Regions from separate parts of the Mus musculus genome. Here region 2 is reported to be linked to region 1. Evidence: microRNA targets listed by miRTarBase, many of them from high-throughput screens and not tested one by one. Region 1 holds a microRNA gene; the other region holds the end of a gene's coding sequence.
The links. Region 1 holds the annotated microRNA mmu-miR-713 (UGCACUGAAGGCACACAGC, at 2,777-2,795, shown strand). A microRNA usually pairs through its seed, bases 2 to 8, with sites in the 3' UTR of a target mRNA and lowers its output. Matches are read on the target gene's strand: a 7mer-m8 pairs with bases 2 to 8, a 7mer-A1 pairs with bases 2 to 7 and ends in A, and an 8mer does both.

Region 2: miRTarBase lists Tyr as a target of mmu-miR-713. Seed matches in the 3' UTR shown: 7mer-m8 at 3,094-3,100.

The regions. Positions count from the first base shown.
Region 1 is chr13:62,758,031-62,766,156 of GRCm38, forward strand. Mir713 (microRNA 713) reads left to right here and starts at 2,709; the gene lies at 2,709-2,816. It also overlaps Platr25.
Region 2 is chr7:87,422,973-87,431,098 of GRCm38, reverse strand. Tyr (tyrosinase) reads left to right here. Exons shown (of 5, transcript NM_011661.5): 5 at 1,815-6,328. The coding sequence ends at 2,050. Among named protein-coding and RNA genes, the nearest start is that of Tyr, 66 kb to the left of the region's middle.

The DNA.
Region 1 (8,126 bases):
TCCAGTATGGTAGAAGGTACTGAGAAGAACCCTCCTATTCTCCTGATTGGCCTGCCCCGGTGCCGAGATTGGCCAGTGATTCTTGAGTGACATAAGCATGCTCCTTAGGGTTGGAGTGTGCTGAAGGCACACATACACCTTCAATGCTCAGGATTCTAGTTCAGGAACTTTGAAAGTAGTGTAGTCACAGCCCAGAAAGGACAGGACAAAAAGAAGTAGATAACTTTGCTGCTTTGACAGTATGTAATATTAAGAATGAACAGCGGGGCTGGTGAGATGGCTCAGTGGGTAAGAGCACCCGACTGTTCTTCCGAAGGTCAGCAGTTCAAATCCCAGCAACCACATGGTGGCTCACAACCATCCGTAATGAGATCTGACTCCCTCTTCTGGAGTGTCTGAGGACAGCTACAGTGTACTTACATATAATAAATAAATAAATAAATAAGTCTTTAAAAAAAAAAAAAAAGAATGAACAGCGAGGGATGGCGAGATGGCTTAGCAGGTAAGAGCACGGACTGTTCTTCTGAAGGTCCTGAGTTCAAATCCCAGCAACCACATGGTGGCTCACAACCACCAGTAATGAGATCTGATGCCCTCTTCTGGTGTGTCTGAAGTCAGCTACAGTGTACTTATGTATAATAATAAATAAATCTTAAAAAAAAAAAAAAGAATGAACAGTGAGGCAATCAATTTTAGACCATTGACAAGAGTCTGACTGGCCCATTTTTTGGGTCCACACACCAGGCAATCAAGAATCTGAATAAAAATTTGAACTTACTATGAAACCAAAATACTACATGAGTCCTACCAAATACATTGTATTACCAAATCTAGGTAATACAATGTGGCCCATCGACTCAGGGGGGGGGGGGGATGGAGGAAGAATTATGGGGAGGGGGTGACTGGGAGGAAGGCAGTGAGCACGCCGTAATTTGAATAAAGAGAAATCGATTTATTAAAAAGCAGGGGAGTGCTTTTATAGTCAAGCTCAAGGCCTATGTACATAGCATATGCTTACAAAAGTGGAATCTTTTTCAGTTAGTAACTTAGTTCACTATCACACAGTTAACAGAACATATCAGGAATGTTGGAATCCATTTCTAATGTGGAAATCACAAAACTATAAATAAAGAACAAGTCACAAAGACAAACAAACAAACAAACAAAGAAGGTGACTTTTAACAAGGAATCTAATTTTAACCTTAATATTAATTTGTAAAAGACAGAAAAACTGGAGTCTGCAAGCCTATCACAAATACAATTTTGATTATTTCCTGTGTTTGAGACAGGGTCTGATACAGACACCCAGCTACTTTGACTCACTAATCACACTACAATATATCATACATATTAAAAGTATAATAGAAAACAGGATGTATGTGCCTTTGAGCAAATATTCCTAGCATCAGAATCTTCTATAGAAGAGAGGGTTGATAAGCCATTGGGCGTTGGTCTGGTTATTGGTAAAGGAGAGTGATCTTGAAAAATTGCAGGCCATTCCCTGGCAGAGATAATGACATAAGAAGATAAAGTTAAGCCAAGTGGTGGTGCAAGCCTTTAATCCCAGCACTTGGGAGGAAGAGGCAGGCGGGTTTCTGAGTTCGAGGACAACCTGGTCTACATATTTAGTTCCAGGATAGTCAGGGCTATACAGAGGAACCCTGTCTCAAAAAAAAAAACCCCAAAAAGATAAAAATTTAAAAACCCCCAAAAAGAAGATATAGTTTGATCTCACCCCACGTGCAATGTCAGCTGCTGAGAGATGCAACCTAACACACAGCTTCTCAACACTCTGAGCTGAAGTAACTGTGCAAGTGGATTGGACATATCTGCAAAGGAGTCCCCTCTACTTGGAAATTCAACATACATTGGACCAAACTAACCTCCTAAAAGGGTATGAATTTGTATATGAATTTATGTGATTTTATCCAAATGTGCTTCTGTGAGGGTGACTCTCTTCTCCTGGTTTAAGAGAAGTTTATTGCTCCAAACTTCCCCCAAGCTTAGCAAGCAAGAGGCATCTGGACAAGAGGGAAAGGCTCTAGCAATGACTCCTTTACTTAATCACCCACTCCCTTTCCTTAGAGAACTTTCATAGGAAACTTTTTAGAAGAACTTGGAAATAAAGATTAAAGACATGTTTAAAAGTGTCCCGCCTTTCTTCCTGTGACTTCAACTAGCAGGATGGAAGTTAGAGCAGCCCAGTTTCTGTGGAGATAGAACAAAAGCTACTCACTTAATCCCCTGTCTTTTTAAGAGGAGGCTCTAAATACCAGAGATTGCAGCGTCCAGCCTTGCCTCAGAGGAACTCGGGCAGGTCAGCTTCGGCTGCAACGCGACTGAGACTTAAGATAGGCAAATGTCTTAATACTAAACAGCAACCCTAAACATCCCTGAAAACCAAGTCTTGTCACCTCAAACACTCTTTCCCCCTCCGCTGCCTGAAGAGGAACCAAGAACAGTCAGGGCTGGTCCCCTGTATCCCATCACCCGGACTCCAGCTGCTTAACTCCCTGCTCCTTCCGGTTAAGGGCAGTGGTCACACGCTCACCATGTCGCCACGTTGTAGATCGCTGGCAATTCCCTAAGGCCCCTGTCAGCAGACATCAAAACACATCACACCAATTTTTCAGCCTGCTCGCAACGGAGCGGAACGCAGAGCAGGGGAACAAGGCACACTAAAGAACACGCCTCTACTTCTATTGGCGGGCCTATCCGGAGGCCCTGATTGGTTAGTGAGACTTGATTGACATGAGCACCTCCCTTAGGGTTAGAGTGCACTGAAGGCACACAGCATAGGGCTTCCAAGATCGGGTTTCTTATCCAGGAGCTGACCCTTTTCAGATCTGCAAGACTTTCTTTCAGTCCTGTCCTCCAATAGTCTATCTTTCTGTCATCCAGAACTCAGCAGGAATTTCTTCTTCTTGCTCCTCCAAGGCCGCCCCCGGTTCTCCTACTCCTCGCTCTGCCCCCTCCTCCAACAAGGAATTAAGAGCCACACCTTGCAGAGTACATTATTCAACTTGACAAAGAGTGAACTATAGGTTCCAAGGATATTTACAATTAAAGAGAGATTTTAGGACACAAAATGTGATGTTTGCTTCTCTCATTTTACACTGACATCAGGAAAACCGCAGCTGATATGCAATTGCTACATATGAGACTCCAGACAGCCCTGGGAAAAAAGGAGGGGATGGATGCCACTCACTAAGGAGCATTATTGTTCGCCAGCACATCTTCCTACTTGGGAAGGTGAAAAAACATGTCTGTATTAGTAAAGGTTTTCCAGATGAACAGAATTCAGAGCATGGATCTCTCTAAGTATGCAGGAAGTGGATAGATAAGAATGGCTCACAGAATGTGGCCCCACTAGTAAATCAATGACTGTATCAATGGAGAGTTGAAGAAAACAGTTGTGTCTATAGGTCTCAGCTGGTGTTCACCACGTAATAGAATTCCACAGATGGAGCCTTAATGTCAGAAAAATAAAAAGACCTTGCAAGCCAGTATGTGGGAAGAAGAGAAAGAGAAAGAACTACCATCTTCAATATCCTTTATATATTTAGGCTCACAGCAGAACTTCTGGCCTTGATTAATTTTTTTCATCTCAATCTAAACTTGCAGATTAAAGAAGGGTTTTCTCATGTTTATTGGTGAAAATAATAAAAACCCCTCAAAGTGCCCATCTGTTTGGTTTTAGGTAACTGAACTCCTGTAAGTACAGTTATTTGAAATAATTACATTGGTGGCAACAACAGTTGACAGGAAGTTCAGTTTTTATCCAGATTATTTCTTATTAGATTTATATATTTATTTTTTATGTATATGAGTACACTGTAGCTGTACAGATGGTTGTGAGCATTCATGTGGCTGTGGAGAATTGAATTTTTCAGACCTCTGCTTCACTCTGGTCAGTCCCACTCACTTAGTCCCTGCTTGCTCTGGCCCAAAGGATTTATTTATTATTATTATACATAATTACACTGTAGCTGACTTCAGACACTCCAGATCTCATTATGGATATTTGTGAGCCACCATGTGGTTGCTGGGATTTGAACTCAGGACCTTGGGAAGAGCAGTCAGTGTTCTTACCCGCTGAGCCTTCTCCCCAGCCCCTTTATCCAGATTATTAATTGCCTGGTCTGCAGACCAGAGTAATGGCCAATCAAGGTGATTATCAAGATGGAAAATTGGTGACCTTACTACTCAATGCTAATGTCAAGTACAGCCATACCAGAAAAATGTTCACCTTCAAAGCCTAGCCTAGAAGAGATGCAGGACTGTCTTCCCATCATGTGGCTTTAGAGAAAGGATTAGATGTTCAAGGCAATTCTGAATTACATGGCATGAGCCAGCCTGGGCTTCGGGAGACCTTGTCCTAAGCAGCACTTGTAAAAGAAATGGAAAGAAATTCTTACGCCTGAGAAACATCACAGAATGGATACAAGTAAGAGATCAGAGCAGTGCTGCATTTAAAGCAAACCAATAATTGACTTTTTACAAACATAAATATTATTGAAAAAACACATAGCCATTCTGACTTTGTAAAAGAATAGTCCTTTTCCTGGTAGAAGGAATACCATCTTTCAAATACTGTTTGACCTTGCCTCTATGTGGATTGTTGCCTGCTGAGACCTGTAACTTGACACACTCAACTACAGCCAATGAAGTCCTGTGTTTTAAATTTCTGAGCTGACTTAATTATGTCAATGAGGATTGCACATATCTCATAGGACAGTAGTAACCTAACTGCAATTTGAGTATTCACCGGCTTAACTGACATCACAAATCATACACCCACCGATCTAGTCTGCTTTCATTTACCCAACATGAATTAAGACATGCTGCAAAATTATGAAATTACCTCCATGCCAGCATCGGGCACTTTTCATTATGGCAACTCTAGCAGCTGATTACCCACCCTGTTTCCCCCATTAGTGTACACAATAAACTTCTTCCTATTCTGGTCAGAATGCAGACGCTATGCCCCTCATGCAAATGCTTTTCCTCTTGACTGAGTAAACAGTTGATTACATGACTCAAATGCATAATTTTAAAACACAGTGGTGGTACAGATGTTAACTTAAGAATTTAGTTGGAACTGGGCGTGGTGGCGTTCACCTTTAATCCCAGCATTCAGGAGGCAGAGGCAGGCAGATTTCTGAGTTCTAGGCCAGCCTGGTCTACAGAGTGAGTTCCAGGACAGCCAGAGCTACACAGAGAAACCCTGTCTCGAAAAAACAAAACAAAACAAAAATGAATTTAGTTGGGTTAAACAACAGGATTGCAATGTTACTGCCCTGAGACATAACAGAGTGGAATGAGAGCTACATGACTCACCAGAAGAAACCTTGTCTCAGAAATAATTTTCTGAAAGGCTGGAGGTGTAACAGGTAGAATTAGCATCCTTTCATAGGAAAAGATCACGCATTCATCTTTGACTGATGCCCAAAGAAGAGCCAGCCTAGAACAGAATTTTTAGTTCCCAATATGCTGTTGTACCTAAGTCTCTCTTAGGTTTGGGCCACAGCTATAGTTTGAACAATAGTCACTGAGGCAGATGGAGATTTACAGAGTAAATCTATCTTTTAGTCCATAATGTATGATCTAAAAGTAAATTTAAAAGATGTATCAATGCCACAACTCTCCATATACAATGGACAGAGAACACAAATACAGAAAATATCAAGGAAACATCACCTAACAGCACTGTGGTTACCGTTCTTACGTGAGCAGGTGTGCTGAGCTAGTCTAACCTCAGAATAAGGCTGCTTTTTTACTCAGCAACTTGGTTCAGAGGAAAGGCACAGGTGCATCTCTGTAGGACCAGAAAGAAGTGCATCCTGAATGCTGTGTGTCTCAAGGCTGTGTCATCTCTGTAGAAGATTCCACATTTTATACGTTATTTTTATTTTATATATGTGAGTCTTTTGCTGGGTCCTGTCTGTGTGCATTACCTACAGTGGTCAGAAGAGGGCATCATATCCCTCTGGATTGCAGTTACAGCAATTGAATTACAGCCTTGAGGTTTTTTGGAATGAAATCTGCATTACCTGGAACAACATCCAATGCTCATGACTATATCTGTGTTTATTATATTTTCCTTGTAAAATAAATTTTATGCATTTAAATTAGAACATAATACAACACTTCACGTAACTTTTACCTTTTTACATTTTTCTAATATATATTCCCAATAATGTCAAATGAGGTGGGAGATTTGGTAAAAACATGCTTGCCTAGTGAGCTAACTTCATTTCCTTAACTGTATGCAAAATACCTATTTGCAAGCTTGAATGTACAACTAAACTGCTAGATGCTCAGAAATCTTTGTCTATGCCGGTTTACACAGATAGTCTACCTTTCTCTTGAGCTCACCTTAACCCAGGAGGGCTCCTTTGCTCTCTTTCTTCAAATCCTGCCTCATCTGTGTCCTGCTATTTCTTAGTACTCTGCTTCCACAATGCTATTCTAAGCCAAGAGATAGAGATAGAGTACAAAGAGAGTGCCCACCAGGAGAAAGCTCAAATGTCTTATTGCTACAAAACCAGGCTCTATCTCCCTTACTACATCCTTGGCAGGCTGCAGCAGGTCAGCTCCAGGGGGAGGTAATGGTGGGAGGACCGGGGTCAAGTCTGTAGGGAGCTAAAACTTCTCACCTTTACAGAAGAGCATCTCAATGCCATCCAAGGTGACTTTGCCCCAAGTCATTCAGCAAAGACCTCAAGACCCCTCCCAAGTAACTTGCCTTAAACTGGGCAGGCTCTTTCCATTCCTTAGCATTCTCTTGTATTGAGGCTTTGGCTTTCAGAGGCACACCCAAAATACACCTTTCCAAGACACACTTAGCTGCATTTGAAAAGGCAGTATCTTCCTAAGTTTGGATATTTCAATACAAATTAGGTTTTCTATTAACCATATTCAAATATCCTTCAACAATTTATCCCCTTACTTCTCCCCTCTCCATCCTAAATCTTCCCTGCCAATTTCTTCCTTGTTACATACATGTGTGACTATGAAGACTCAAATACATAAATAAAACTTGCTGACTGCATTTTTATTGGTTATGTGTATGATTCAAGGACTGACTGACTTGCATTGATTAGCCAAATAGGGAACTCATTGCCTGGGGCTAATTCTCCTACTTAAGAGTTCCCCTCTTTAATAAGCAATAGAATTTGGGGAGCACAAATGACAGATTAGGATGAAAACAAGATAAGCCCTCTTCTCTGTGAAGTAGATAAAGTACCTACCTCGAATCCAAAGCTACAGGTGGATTATTTTATTTACCGAGTGAGCTTTTTGCTATTTGTGGTGGCAAACCTCTCCTACCTTAGATATAGAGGTAGCTGTCACCCAAATTCCCCACAATGATTATCCTATAATTTTTGCCTACTCCTCTGAAAGACTTCCAGGTACTGGAAAAGAAGTATTCAACATAGGAGTAAAGGGCAACATTCCCATTTAAACACATTATCTTGCGTCAACTCTCATAGAGTGAATCCTGCCTCTTACTCTACCACAGTCTTCCATGATCTTCAATGAGACTGTTATGATTCCAACATACAATGCTAAGAATAAACAATATTATTCCACAAAGAGTCAAAGCATATCAACGATGGAACAGACCAAAGAAAGACCTAATCCAGCAGGAAAATATGAAATCATGAAGTTCATTGTTCAGCTTCTTCAGATAATGATGAAATTGCCTGACTACAATATACTTAGGCATCCCTAGTCTTCCACCTCTGTCTCTGAAGCACACATGGCTTCACTTTTAGGCCGATTCCACGACTTGCTTGTAGCTCTTTTCAAAAATTCTCTTATTGTCACAAATACCTTGTGTATGGTATTATATTTTACTTTATTGAAATTGGGTTAGTGAGGAAGGAGAGATCTTTCAGTTGTTACGAGCACTGACTGTAGAAGCAGGCATGGCATTTACATGGCAGCTCACTATGATCTAGAACTATGTTTAGTTCCACAAAAACATATGGTCCAAATTGTTACATATGAGGCGTCAGCTGGTATTTTCTGGGGTATTTCCATAAATGAGACCTTTTCTGCATGTCTTTCCTATAGATTCTAAAATGAATGGCATAAAAATATACCTCTATACTACACAG
Region 2 (8,126 bases), not on the chromosome of region 1:
TCACTTAAAGACACATTTTGAATTTTTTGTTATTTTTCTACACTGAATCTGTCTGATATAGTGATTTCTTATATTTTTTCTCTGAGAGCCAATGCTCCATATTTTTATTTTAATATATATAAAATACATCATGACCAATACCTGATTTTAAAAATAAACTCTAAGTTTTACCTCAAAACATAGTAGATACTGGCTAATTTATAATTTGTTTTCCATTGCTATCTATTGAATATCTCTCCCAATTGGCCTAATGTTTCTTCATTACCTTTTTGGAGTGTAATAATACATTCAGTCATGGAGTAAACATTTACTTTTCTCATGGGATTCAGGCACTCTACCAAATTTCAGGATTACTTCATTGTATCCACCAGCATTCCACCCATACCCCAGTTCCCAAAAAATGACTTGGAGGCTTATTATTATATTAATAAATGCCTGGACCTTAAACTAAGCTTCTCTGACTAGCCTGTAACTCAGTTATCCTGTTTATACTATTCTATGTTTGCCACATGGCTGGTTACCTCATTCAACTTCCTATCCTGCATTGCCTAGTTCCCAGAGTTCATCTCTCTCTGCCGGGTGTCCCACTTTGTAATCATTCCTCAGCTTATTGGCCATTAGATATTTATTGTCAAGTGATGCTTCCACACAGTACCGAAGATATTATCTCTACACACCACAGTTTGGGTTTTCAAGGAGTCAGTATAATATAGAACATAAACATATAATTAGTAACTCTAATACAATGTGTTGGTGTAATAGTAGAAGAAATGTTATACTTACAGCATTTAGATGTTTAGGGTTTCTTGGACTAAATAGAAAAAGTGGAAAAATGCTTATAAGAAACACATGAAACTAAAGGTGAAATTTGACTCTAGGAACAATTTTAGGAAAAGTACAGGGGAATATCAAAAGTACATTCTTTTCAAAATATGTATGTTAGACTATCTGTACTAGAAGATTCGGAGGTAGAAATTTATTTATGGGTGGCAGAACTCATAATTGTTCAACCCAGTTGTAATTTCTTATGTGGTTTGAAGTAATTATAGATGGTCAAAGGCTACACGTTTTCCTTACTTGAAATTATTTTTAAAATATTCTTGGCTAAAATCTATTGTCTTAAGACTGAAAATTTTAGTACTGGAGACATATCTCAACAGTTAAGAGTTTGCTTTTCTTACAGAGGAAAGAAGTTCAAATCTCAGTACCAACATGGGCAGCTTGTAACTACTTGTAGCTTTAGCTCCGGGGGTACATTCACCCTCTTTTTTACCTTGGTGCATTCTGCATGTACATGCACATGTCAATGTACACACACACACACACACACACACACACACACACACACACACGCACAGATCTCTGCAAGAACAGAGAGTGTACAAATGTCGTAGTGTTCTTGAGAATGCTCTGAGACTACAAAGTTTCTTCTAGCAGTATAGTCAGTGTTACTCAAATAATTTAAATTATCAACAGATCATCAACAGTTAATAATATAACTATGTTTCATAGATCAGCAGTATAATTACATAATCATCAAAAGGAATTGTAACAATAGTACCTAACAATATTGCACATCAAGGGTTATATTCAAGTTTCAAAAGATCCCAAAAGCAGAGAATTATTTTCTTTTCTTCCTAGGGAGGAAAGGGTGCTTGAGAAGGAAGAGGTTAATTTTCCCCCAAGATTTTCTTTTTATTAAGCAAAACAGCTGGCATTACAACCCAAGCCTCTTACTCCTAAGTAGCATGCTAAAATGCTGCTGATGGTGCTGGTGATATCTGTGAAAACAGCTTGATCTCTTTCTATTTCAGATCCAGGCTTTTACAGAAATTATATTGAGCCTTACTTGGAACAAGCCAGTCGTATCTGGCCATGGCTTCTTGGGGCAGCACTGGTGGGAGCTGTTATTGCTGCAGCTCTCTCTGGGCTTAGCAGTAGGCTATGCCTTCAGAAGAAGAAGAAGAAGAAGCAACCCCAGGAGGAAAGGCAGCCACTCCTCATGGACAAAGACGACTACCACAGCTTGCTGTATCAGAGCCATCTGTGAACATCCTAGGAAACAGAGTGGGACTGAAAGGTTTTACCTCACTCGACCTATTTGTTGGTGTTTCTACAAATTTAAACTAGTATAAAACATAGACCATAGCTGTTTGGCTTTTTTTCAGACCCATGTTTTTTCCTAAGTCCTAGTTTCTAAGAAATGACTGGGATTTGCTAAAATATATATATATATATAAATAATAACTTACTAATAGCTAAATAAAATTTCCTCTTACAACTAATTGAGCTGGTTTTTATGAATGTGTCTTAATTATTTAAACTTGAGGCACATTTTTGTTTTCCTTACTTCATTGTGAATTTCCAAGAAAAATATTCTCTCTCTCTCTCTCTCTCGTGTGTTTGTGTGTATGTGTGTGTTAACTGATTCAAACAATTTTGAAAATCTTGGATTGATAGAAATGATTCATTAATTTATGAAATTATTTCATTAATGATTAGGAAAGACGAATAATTACTAAATTAGTAACAGAGGAGAACATCTGCCAGCTTTTATTAATTGTCATTTAAGTTACCTTATCTACCTTCTGTGACTGGTGGAAAAATATCAGGCAAGAGATGGGAATGCTCTGCCTAATAGGATAGTGGCTCCTGGAAGGAGTGGGTTATTACTAGAGATTATTACCTGAAGTTTACCATAGCCAGAAAATTAATCAAAACAGATGACTCAGTAACATCTGAAGCTTCAAGTCGGCTTGACTGCAATCTGAAATCATCAAGCCCAAGAGCCAAAGGAATGGGAACAGCGATGGGAAACTATCTGAATCAGATTCTAGTGTGATAGTGTCAGGGGCACATGGGTCATCTTTGAGACCTTCACACCTGTTGAGTCACCAAAATTTGCTGTGAATGTAAATTTTTACTGTAAATTAATTTTTTCTTTTCTTTTTAAAAAGATTTATTTATTATTATACATAAGTACACTGTAGCTGTCTTCAGACACACCAGAAGAGGGTGTCAGATCTCATTACAGATGGTTGTGAGCCACCATGTGGTTGCTGGGATTTGAACTCAGGACCTCTGGAAGAACAGTCAGTGCTCTTACCCGCTGAGCCATCTCGCCAGCCCAGTAAATTTTTACTTTAGTGAAAGTAAAATTTAAGTTTTAGTTTTTAGTTTAGTAAAATTTTAGGAAGCAAATTTTTAGTTTTCTAAACTAATTTTTTTTTCTAGTACTGGACATCAACCCAGTGCCTTGTATATGCAATGCAAGCATTTTCTTGTACTCTGCTACCTAGCATGTATATATAAATCTACCCAACAAATGTTCATTACAGCTGACAAGGGTCTTTATAAACTCAGTGTTTCCCTTTATCACAATACAATTCCCTCCTTTGCCACTTCATGTCATCATAGAATATTGTTTTTTTCTCTAGCGGTTCAAGGTATGTATTTGTATAGCAGTCACACCTTTGATAAAAGTTACCATCTCTTTGATTATATATTCTCATTATGGTAACAAAATTATATTATGACTATTTCAATATATCTGAAAGTTTCATTAAATTCTCATTAACTTTGTATATTTCAGTCTTGCTTATTGTGAAGCTTTTATAAATTGCTTCACTTTTTTCTGAAATTGTCCTGTTGCTACATCATTCTGTTAAGAAATAAATAAGTGGCAATATTTTCCCCCTTTCTTCTTCCTCTAGGCTTTTAAAATTAATTTTAGTATTCATATATTTTTATCAAATCAAACATGCAATTCTCTATCTGTAGAGATTAACCTGTGATCGATACAAGTCATTTTAACTAGTGTCCTTATGAGGCTGACAGCAAGCATAAATCATTGATGTTCAGCATTTATATAAGCTTTCATTTATGAGTAGAGTTTGTCAGTTTATACAATAGAATATAAATTATAAACAAGCTATTAATACCACAAAAGCCTTAACATTATTTAGCTGTTGCAAACTACATATGAACAACTTTAGTAATTTTCATGTTCTATTTAAGTTTTATATGCTTCAAATTTATTATTTGGGGCCTCTTATTGTTTTTTTATATGGCAGCATTCTAGGATGGAGTGTGAAGAGATTTCTTAGCCTCAATCCCCATCTGATGCCCTATGGGCAGTGATGGCTTCTGTTTGAGGGACACTCAGTTTTCTATTCGAGTCCTGGTAGAGTTATCATGTTCTGGTAGAAGGATTCAAGCCCAGTAGTATAGGTACACCATGCCTTATAATGACTGAGCTATTACATTTAAAAAAGAATAAAAGCATGAAGCTGAGGAGGCAGTGAGGTGGGGGTGGATCTGCGGAGAGTCACATGGAGAAGTGGAGGGCAGATTTACATTATATCAAATTTTCAAAAAATAATAAAATATTTATAAAATGTAATTGAACGAACAATATGTGGGTTGGAATCAAAACTCATGTAGAACTTTCTTCAGTCACTAGATCTGATTGATTGTGAATTGATTATTAGCCATTTAAACTAGTAGACTCGAGACTTACCTTAATTATTTAGTTGCCAAATTTGGGATCACAATTGAATATGTCTCCTCAAAAAATATCTTAAAAATTCATAGTAATCACTTTCACTTTCCTTTTGCCTATTTTAAAATATATGCATTCTCTTTAATTAAACAGCTCTGCATCCTGTTTGTCCCATAGGTAAATAAAATGTTGAGTGTGAATATTTAGTGAAATATAGTTCTTAATAAATTTGCTTTACTAAAATTATTTTTACTTTCTTAGTCTTTTTTTTTTTTAGAAAATTAAAAGTAAATGTATAGAAGTAAAAAGTTTGTTTTCTAAATCAGTGTTCTATATGTTGCATAAACTGGTTCCTACTGCTGGATTTTGTTGGCTTTCCAGTCTCAGAGCAGTGTCTGGATTACAGGTAGATATTGCTGTACTAGGATGAAAGTAGACTGTTTTAATGAGAGATACTTTCAATTTCACAGGAAAGGTGATTTCTATTATGTTAGGCCAATAATCCTAACTTTAATGGCATTTCATAATGGGTGCTGAGTTAACTGTCTGATGCTGAAATTATACTAAAAATAATGTGGTGATCATGGAACCTCAAAATAAAACAAAATAAACTAAAAATTTATCACCTTTTAAAAATCTAGTATTATCTTTTCATTAACTAGAAAACAAATGTTGAAATGTTTAAAAAGAAATATTTAGCAATATACACAATAATTGATTAATTTCAGTTTAATTTTTAAAATATTTTATTCTTTCTTAATGACAACTACTGTATGATCTGGCTCATAAGTAGTAGCGGTAGCAGCTTTTGCAGAGCATATACCCCCTAAAATCTGTGTCAATATACTATTTGAGTTCCCTGAACATCTGTTTATTACAGTGCTACTCACAACAACTAGGTTGTGGAGACACCCCAGATGTCTATCCACAGACAAATGGATAGAGAAACCATGGCATGTATACATGGTGGAGGTTTGTTCAGCCATAAAGAAGAATTAAATTATGTCATTTGCAAGAAAACTAATGTATTTATAATTCATGATGATGAATGCAATAGGTCACACTAAAAATCACGTTTTTCTATATTATATATACATATAAGTGTATACATGCACATTTTCAGGAGGAACTATTTGTTTTTTTTTTAACGCATTCTAGAATGTAGCAGGAAAGACAATATTGTGGGTAGTTTGGGGTTGCATCAGTATAAGCAAAGAAAAAGTTATACAAGTATGAAAATTTTATAATGAGTACATTATAAAATTTGTAATGTGTACAATAAATATATACCAATATGCTGTATAATAAATATATACCAATGATTAAAGAAAAAATCCAAGTAGTTATGTATTTTACTTATAAAGACAAAATGAAATCAGCATTAACTTATTTCACAGATATTTCCTAGAATTTGGGGGTATAAAGATGATTAAGACACATAAACCATATGCTACATTGAAAAATGCAAGTGGGGTAATAGGAAAGTAGATAACTACTTATAAAATTATGATGGAAATAATCATTCTAGAGTAATATTCTAAAACACAATTTAAAAAGTAAGGTCATAAAATAGAAAAATAATTACCCATCTCAATTCTAAGACATAATTTTTTAGATTAGATTAATCTCTTCTTTAACAATTATAATAGAACCTTTTCATCATTTATATACTGGATGCATGTCTAAGCACTACTCTATATAATTTCTGCTTGTCATATGAACACTGAGTATGGTTATATTACTTTATTTTAATGATGAAGAAGCTTGAATAACAAAGATATTTTAAGAAGTCAAAAACCCTATTAAATTGTATGTATCACAATTTTTAATTTATGCCTCCATGACTTTAATTCTTATTTCTAATGCAAAGCCATATTGTTTCCATGACTTTTACACATATCTTTGATTACTTTACTATAATTATCACCATTACTAATAACACTGGGAATTTGTTTTATATGACAAAAATCTGTCATGTTTGCACATATATCATCATTCCTTGGATAGTGGAAGTTATTGAGCTGAGGTTATGCTCAGTGGATAAGAACACTTGCTGTGCAAGCAAAAAGGCCCTAATTCAGACTCCAACATCTATATAAAAAATATGGCCATGGTAATGCGCTCACCTATAACCTCAGTTCTGTGCAGGAAGTGTGACAGAGACAAAAATAAAATCACTCGATTTTCTGTCTACCTGCCTAGCTCCAGCTTCAGTGAGAAGCTCTGTCTCCAGTGAATAGGTAGAAATTGGTAAAGAAGGACACTGGGGATTCTTCCTTTATATATATATATATATGTATGTATATATATATGTATGTGTATATATACATATATATATATGTATATATATACATGTACACGTACACATACAGAGACAGACAGAAATAAAGACAGCAGAAATAGAGACAGAGATGGAGAAAATCAAAGTGCAGATGCAAATAGTTTAATTGTACAAATTTTTGAAGTTCAAATTAGTGGAAACAGATCTTTACACTAGCTAGTATGATTTTAAATTCACAGTTTGTCTCAGCATGTAAAAATAACTACATTGTACAGTAAGTCCTGGAATTCTATAGTTCCATAGGGACACAAAGTCAAGAAAAATAATACAGATAGAAAGAGATAATTAAAAATAGAAAGACATCATCCTGCTTCATCTTGACAGTAGTATGAAAGTTCCTAGATAAGCACCCACAGTGAAATAATACCTATTATGTCAACTGTTCTAAAAGTGTTCTTGGTGGGATGATTCTTATGTGTAGCAGTGAATAATCTACCTTGATCTCCCTTCTGGGAGTGGGGTCAGAACGTGTGATCACACTTCTTGTCACCTGCCAGAATTTTCTGGATTTGCGAATGAAAGACAGAGAGACAGAGAGAGACAGAGAGACAGACAGGCAGGCAGACAGACAGACAGACACACACACAATTAGAACACACACACACCATACACCACAACACACACACACACACATACACAGACTCGGGTCAGCTTAATTTTAATATGCCTTGACTAGTTCAGTGGCCAGGCATTTGCAAACCTCCCTTCAGCTAGCATACACTTCCATCCGTACTCTTCAGTGAACACTTTCTAAATCTATATTTTATCTTTGTTACCCTAGACCGAAGATGGTGAGTGGCCTCTGGGGTCATTTCCCTGTCTTAATGATGAACTCTCTGCTTCCCTGTCATCATGGGGTATGGGGTGGTCAGTACTAAGCCCCCTCATAGTGGAATTCCTTTGTCTTCTCCTTGCTCAGAAATCCCAAAAGTCCTGCCTCTTTCACTCTGACCAGCTATTGGGTTTGGCTCTTTATTGACTGTGGGGAGCGGGTGTGGCGGCAGTCCCAAAGGCGCCAGGGACTGCAGCTAAGTCATATGACTTGCACCTGACTTCCTCATATAAGACACAAACATCTCGAGTGCTGCGCAGGTGTACCAGGATACAGGTGAATCCAATTTGGTGGAGATTTGCCCCTGCTGCCCTGATTAGCTGAAGCCTCGTGACTGGCGAGGGGGCGTGGCCTGCGGTGCATGGATGAGAGAGAGTATAAAAGGAGTGAGAGGCCCAGGGTTCGGGGGAGATATAAACAAGAAGAATCAGGACTGAATAAACTGCTGTTAG